2 linked regions of the Coturnix japonica genome follow. The protein of the gene in region 1 interacts with the protein of each later gene in a pairwise test. Links are inferred from orthologs where the notes say so. Each region holds a gene or a part of one and is shown on either strand. Other genes may lie near its edges.

Evidence for each region.
Region 2: the proteins of CASP10 (region 1) and RIOK3 interact in binary tests that used the Homo sapiens proteins (3 or more experiments, as listed by UniProt). The link is inferred for Coturnix japonica from reciprocal best matches to the Homo sapiens genes CASP10 and RIOK3.

Annotation. Positions count from the first base shown.
Region 1 is NC_029522.1:9,912,464-9,916,285, reverse strand, and holds part of CASP10 (caspase-10), read right to left. Parts: exon of another isoform or gene 3,152-3,822; coding exon 3,063-3,151; exon of another isoform or gene 2,433-3,062; coding exon 2,396-2,432; exon of another isoform or gene 2,044-2,395; coding exon 1,972-2,043; exon of another isoform or gene 1,749-1,971; intron 881-1,748; coding exon 792-880; intron 1-791. UniProt on the Homo sapiens protein: Involved in the activation cascade of caspases responsible for apoptosis execution. Recruited to both Fas- and TNFR-1 receptors in a FADD dependent manner. May participate in the granzyme B apoptotic pathways.
Region 2 is NC_029517.1:92,943,367-92,947,188, reverse strand, and holds part of RIOK3 (serine/threonine-protein kinase RIO3), read right to left. Parts: intron 3,771-3,822; coding exon 3,661-3,770; intron 3,460-3,660; coding exon 3,316-3,459; intron 1,917-3,315; coding exon 1,789-1,916; intron 1,303-1,788; coding exon 1,111-1,302; intron 230-1,110; coding exon 70-229; intron 1-69.

The sequences.
Region 1 (3,822 bases):
CAATGAAAAGCACCTTAATTTTTTGCATTTTAATAGAAGGAAATGAAGACACCACTCCAAAAAGTCCTTCAAGAGTAGCAGACAGTGGTGTTTGCTAGAGTGTTACGAACATCAGTTGATGGCACAGAACTTAAATTAAACAGGTACAGACAAATGCAGTTACGTGCTTCCTCAATATCTGTGCTTATCATAAGGAAAAAGACGCAGGGAGAATTCATCAGTTACTCTGCTATGCAAGCTTAAAGAATACACATACGACTTCTAAAAAGATACCTCACAAAAGGCATCTTTTCCCCTGAACCAAGACCCCTGGTGCATTACATGTCCATGATTACTGAGCATTCTTGTCTTCTCTTATCCTTCTTATGCAGCCTTTGCACGCTACCCACTGTCTTATTTCAGGGCACCCTGAAGCTTTTTCTAAGCCACATCTAGAGAGATAGAAATGTGAAGATATATTTGTCTTCTCTATTTCTACGTGCACGTTCTGATGCCATCTCCAAAATCTGCAGCTCAAGATTATGCAAGGTGGTTTCCCTGTATCGGGGAGATAATGGTGTGTGCATAGCACCAAAGTAATGTGACAGCTTTGCCTGTACCGTGTCTTTCAATATTGTTAAGTTTCTGACCTCCAAGGTTAGAATGCCCTCCAAAATATTCTGGTTCATCAGACTGCTCAACCAGTTTCATGAGACAGAGAAATCTCACGTGTTGTTGCATGCCACTGCAAGGATGGAGACCTTATATACCTACACGATTCACAAATAATCGTTTAAGAGATTATTTCAAACCTTGGGTTCATTTTCTGCTCCACTGAATCCTCCTGACAGCTGCAGGTTCATTTTAGAGAAGACTTGTGTAAGATTAGGTGCCATGTTATCTAGGAAAAAGCAGTATAAATATTTATGAGTATTAACCCAGTACTGGTGTATGTAGCAAAAATGATTTTAATTACAGTACAGCCCTTTTTATATTTAAAATGTTGATACATCTAAAGGAATAATTCTTTCTGTATGAGATAGCACTGTCACATACAAGGCATAACATGTCTGAACATGTCTCCAGTTATTTTATGTATTTTCATGTCAAAGGCATGGTTTCTGCTTGCATTGGTTTTAGGGATCAAAGATATTTGTGGCACAATGATAGACTCTAACTGCAATAGCCAAATTAATTTTTCAATTAGAAATATTTAGAAATAAAGTGCACCATAAGAAGGATCTGTGTCTGACTACTGAAGCTCCCATTGCAGAACGCTTTTAGTTCCTGAGTGGTTCATAATAGCTCTGAGATCAAATTTTCAAGCAGCATTCAAAAAAGTTCCAAGTGGAAAACAGCAGGTTGCGCTGTGATACTTTTTAACAGGCCAGTATGTTGTGGAGTTACAAAAATAGCTGTACACATACCATCCACTGTTATTTCCACAAAATCCTTTCAGAGATCTGATCCAAATTGTGATTCACTGCTAATTAATTTATGTTTCCTTTTGAACATGCTCTCCCCTCCTTCTCGTACCTGTCTTAGGCTACTTAATGCATTCAAAACATCCCACTGTATAACACCTGGTGACTTCCTCAACTGGTAATCTTACTAGCTTTACTTTTCCAGAAAGTCACTGGAAGATGTGCAAACATTAACTGTATATATTATGCTCTCACTAGTGTATGTAGGTGCCAGGAACTAAACCAGTTTTTGTTTGCTTGCTTATTTCTGTCCTCAGACCTTCTATTTTCTGCTTATTTTAACAGCTGTTCAGCAAATATCTGAGAAGAAATCCCAGAGAACTGGCATTCCTGAACTGGAATAGAGAGACATGAAGTCCAGCACATCTTCTCATTTCCTCTATTGAGGTCCCAAAGGTATGGCAGAAAGTGCTACAAGAACTGGTGTGGTCCTTTTAAATAACACATTAAATTTCAGGCAGCAGAGAATAAAAATAGCTTAACACTGAAACCCTAAGAGAAGAGAAACCTTGGCTTCCAGGAATAGAGTTCACTCTTCCAGTAAGTTCCCATGAGCTCACAGGTTCCTCAACACAATGACCTATACAGCAAAATAAGTTTGAGGTAAAGTCTCACACAAACAAATTAACAGTTCAGTTCAATGAACAGTCACAGTGATCTATTCCTTCCTCATATTTAAACAGAGCACTGAAAAAACCACGTTAGTTTCTAGTGAATGACTAACAAAGTGCACGGGATTTGCCAATTTTCACACATTTACATAAGAGCAGAAATCCTTCAGATCTTCTTGTGCAGAAAGCAGAAGACCTTTCCAGGTAAGACAGCAAGTTAAGTGCTTAGCATTAAACTAAATGTTAGAAATTGTTTACAGTAAATAAGTGTATATAAAATTAAATGTAAAACCAACAAAACTGAGTTTTGGAAAGTCTTACCATGGATACTGGGACTGACAAATCTGATTGAGGTCTCCTATTTTTGAGTGGAGGAAAGCACATGTTAAAATTATTTTACGTACATATATATTTCATAGTGGTTACAGAAAGACAGGCTTATAAACACCGAAGCTTTCTAAGTAGCAGGTAACAAAAATACTGAGTTCCTAAGAGCAGGAAACATAACGAAACTACAGAAGACTTTTTTCACTTACTGCAAATCTCATAGAGCTGCAAACAGCCTTTTTTTTTTTTTCATATGGATCAAGAGAAAGAGCAAATTTATTTTTTTTTTCCATTTCCAAATGATCTTTCATTATGGAGATAAATAGTTCAGTAATGATCAGACGAAACCTTAAAAATCTGCAATTCATGCCTCATTCTCTAGAAGGCCTTCTTACATCTCTCTCTCATATTTCTCCTCCTAATGTTATCTTGTTCTCCAATTGCACATGAGCAATAGTAGTTCTTCAGTCTAAACTATCTGATGCTATATGCAGCTGTATTTCTTATATGCAGAACAAATATTCTTGTCCCCTTACTAAATCAAGTGGAAAGGATTAGTGAAACAACAGAGAGCCAACCAAGTATGGTTTCAAAGTGAAGGCAAAGAAAAAACAAACCCCAGACTCTAAAACCCTTGTAGGCAGCGTGTGTTCCAGTGTACCTGAGGGGAATTGAATACTCTGATGTCTGCATTGTTAGATGGTGAAGATTCCTTGATTGGCAGAGTATTCTCCTGCTGAGGCAGAGACACTAAGAAGAGGAAAAAAGGAAAATGAGTGAGAGAAATCACATGCATTTTAGGTAAATCTCTTATCAACGTGCACGTTAGAGCAAATGCAGATCTATACTTAATGAAAGGTGTACTGAAATAGAAAATGACTTTGAAACACTCAAAGGAGGCACATGGGACTGGATCTCTTGGAAGTATTGAGTGCCCTCTCACCCATACAGAACATAGCTTTGCACTTCCCAGAATTTGATTGCCATTGCTAAAATAAGTGGAAGTAGAGCCTTTCCCCCAGTATGCTTATAGTCACTCCATGGGACATTAAGTGCAGCAGTGTCACACACTGCAGTACACCAATCACACATTTAATAATTAAAGTTATCACATATCAGACAAACACACAACTTGCTTTGCCTGCTTACTAGCAAGCAACTGCTTTGTAGCTGTATGCGTTTATGAATCATGGAGTGCCTTTTATAGGATAGTCATCTCAGTGCTACCCACATAGAAGCTGAAGAGTGTGGCACAACTATGAATTTTTAGTTTCTCAGCCAGTTCTGTGCGTGCTGGACTGCTCTGCGTGGCCTCAAACATTTGAGCACATTCCAAATGGGGGATAATGATGTAATGCAAGGTAGGGACAGTTATGTAGAACATGTGTGTGAAGATACTGAGCAATCCCAATCTAGTAAAG
Region 2 (3,822 bases), on another chromosome or scaffold:
AGTAAATAAATGCTGATTTGTCCTTCACGTCATTCAATAAAAGTAGATGTCACAGCGGCATTGCCTTACATCAAGAACTTGATAGTAGGCCTTTTTCATATCTTCACTATTAAGCTTCACATCCTTTAGTTTAGGTGCTGGGACTTGATCCTGGCCAATGAAAGACATAACCAAGACGTGTTTCTTAAGGATAACCACTTGAGGACAAGGAATTCCTGCATTCTGCATTCTGTGGATAAAGACAAATAAATATTGATAAATATTTATATAAATAAATATTTATATAAATAAATATCAAGAATAAAAATAAAGCAATAACAATTAAAAAAAAACACAATCTAGTTATGGCTTGTTCAGTTCAAAGCTGCATGCGAGAGATCTGACCCAGAAGTCACAGAATCACAGAATGACCCGGGTTGGAAGGGACCTCAAGGATCATGTAGTTCCAACCCCCTGCCTAGCAGGGCCACCAAACATACACATTTACTAGATCAGGTTGCCCAGGGCCCCGTCCAACCTGGCCTTGAACACCTCCAAGGACGGGGCATCCACAACCTCCCTGGGCAACCTGTTCCAGGGCCTAACCACTCTCCTAGTGAAGAACTTCCCCCCAACATCCAACTTAAATCTTCCCTCTTTCAACTTAAAACCATTTCCCCTTGTCCTGCTATTGTCAGCCCTTTCGAAGAGTTTACTCCCCTCCTGGGTGTAGGTTCCCTTCAGGTATTGAAAGGCTGCAATGAGGTCACCCCGCAACCTTCCCTTCTCCAGGCTGAAGTCTTTGACACAGAGGACTGTTAAGTGGTTACGTATTTCTACCCCTCTACATTTCACTTAGGACTCTAAAGTCTGAGTTATCCAAAATGTGCCTAAAAATGGTAATGGAAAACTAATTACTTATACAGCTAGAGGCTGCTAACTTCACAGGCTTATAAATTCAACTGCCAAATCCCTGAAGACGCTCTTAATTCATTAAACTGTAAGAAAACAGATGCTTATTCAGTCTATGCCAACAACAAATGTAGACTTCTACCCAAACACATTCTAACTTTCTAAAGCAGAGAGTAGGAAACCAACAAGCATTTAATAAAATAGACTGCTTATTTTTACCTTGTTAAGTTATGCATTTCTTTCTCAGCCCACATGCGAATAATCTTCCGCGGATTCAATTTACTGAAGCGGTCTTTGAACCTGTAGTCATCCTTGATGTATTTGTCACGGTTTTTGAATTCATTGAGAGTGGTTTTGAACACCTTAATGGCACATTCTGGAGGTATAACTTTATCATCTTCAGTTGCACTTCTCGTGGAAAAGAGTCAAGCACACAACAACATTCACTATTCACATCCTCGCAAGAAAACGTACATTTGCTTTATTGCTTTTTTGTTACTGTATCAAGCTTGAAAATCACTTTGAGTTACGTTTGTAAAGGCTGTTGAGCTTGAATATGAAATATTTGATTTTTGGAACTTTGATCATATGTTATCAACCTTCAAGTAGCCCAAGATCATCATGATGGCTTTCTAGCCCAGGGTAGGTCAGTGGGAACAGACCTTCACAGAACGCTACAGTTGACTTGTTCCTAACACATCTCCAGAGAAGAAAGTGGAAGGTTTGGGGTTTTTTGGCGCTATTTGGCTTGCAGAACTTATCACTGCATACATATGAACTAAAAGTTCAAGTCCTGGCAATGAAATAAACACAGATTGTTCAAATATGTTGAGCTTTCTCCTTTTTAGGCTCTCTCTAGCACTTCAGGCTACTGTCAGTAACAAACAACATACTTACTTTCCTCCATATGCATGAAAAACAACAGATTCTTTCCCCGTGCTGATGCAGCCTGTGATGGTCTCTAGCATTCCACCACTGACCATCTTGTACAGAAGTAAACGTGTTTTAGGATCCACTGCTTTCTCCTGCGGGTGAGAAATAAGTACATGAATTATTAAAATAACCCTTTGCTTTTACAATGAGTTTATAGTATTTATACACTATAGGTGCCTAACTGCATGGGAAAAATAGCATATTAAAAGTGCTCTCTCCATTGACAAGGTGGGGCCTAAGCCCTGGTCAAGCAGGGATACTTAGAGCAGGGTGACCAGGACTGCATTCAAGCAGCAGCTGAAGACCTCCAATGAGGACACTCCATAGCTTCTGGGCAACTTGTGCCAATGTCAGATGGAAATTCTTATGTTCCATTTACACACATTGCCTCTCATCCTGGCACTGGACACCACTGAAGAGAGCCTGGTCCCATCTTCTCTGAGTGCTCCCTTCTGGTATTTATATATCTGATGAGACACCCCCAAGCCTACTCTCCAGGCTGAACACTCCCAGCCCTCCCAGCCTTGCTTCACAGGAAAGATACTCCAGCCCCTTCATCATCTCAGTGGCCCACTGCTGGACTCAGTCCATGCCTCTCTTGTACTGCAGAGCTGAGAACTGGACCAGCACTCCAGTAGCAGCCTCACCAGCACTGAGTAGAGAGCAGGGATCACCTCTCTCAACCCACTGGCAATACCTTGCCTAAAGCAGCCCAGGATGCCATCAGCCTTCTTGACTGAAGGTCTGGGTGTGCTGACGACTGGGTGTGCTGCTGGCCCATGTTCACCTCACTGGCTACCAGGTCCTTTTCTGCTAGACTGCTTTCTACCAACTAGGTGGCCCCCAGCACACTTCTGGTTCCAGGAACTGTTCCAACCCAGTGCAGGACATGGCATCTCTCCTTGCTGAACTGTAGAACATTGCTGCCTGCCCACCTCTCCAGCTTGTCAAGATCCCTCTGAATTGCTGCACAATCCTGTAGCGAGCCAGCTACCTCCCCCAGACCTCCTAGACTCACATAATCCATTAATTTACTGTAGGTACACTCTGCTGCATGGTCTAGACTCAGATTATTCCTTAAGAGAACTTCCTATAGTGTTTTCAAGAACAATCCCAAATATCGCATTACTTTTGTATAAGCTACAGTAAAGTAAAACATCTAAGTCTGAAAGACTTCACAGCAGGAATTACCACAGGCACAGTTCCAGACTCATTAAAGCTATCTACTGACTTCCTAAGTTATTAAGGAAAAATTTATTAAGTCACCTCATCTTCCTGAAACTTGCTATGAGGACAGATGTTTGCACAGCCACATGCTTCAGGGTATTTGCTGGATGATTTCTATACACAATCTCTAGGCTCATTTAGCAGAGTTAAAGACAGGTTTAAAACAACCTCTTTTACTAAAAACAGTATTCATCAAGGAATTACCAAAACAGTATTTTACCATTACATAAGATAGAGAGGATAAAAAGACTTAAAAAAACATACTGCAGTGGAATGTTCTTTCTTTTCATGGAGCCTTGCACTTCGACGTTCCTCAGAGTATGCATGCTGCTTTAAGGCATTGAAGACTTGATTTGACAGCTTTAAGTCCATCCCAATTCCATCCCCAACTTGAAACTCCGGTGCAAACTACAAGTAGAGGTAACTGTTAGGTATTGGTACTAGCAGACAACAGTTGGCAAAAGCAGGAATTTCTCATTCTCATCTGCAAAAAATCTAAGGCAGATTAAGGCTTAAGGGATAACATGCTACAAAATGAGTTTCAAAGCATCAAAAATGTATTGCTCTGAGCTCAGAACTCAGAGTGAATCTTCCTAAGCTTTCACTTACATTTTCCATACGAGCAGTGTTCTTTCTTCCACAAACCACTTCATCGTGTTTAGTAGTAATGTCCTTTCCTTTCCCTATGAAACCCTTTTTTGGTGTAATAGTAGGTTTATCTGCCAGCATTAAGAAAAACATGTCAAACTTGACATCAAAGCAAACATCGCT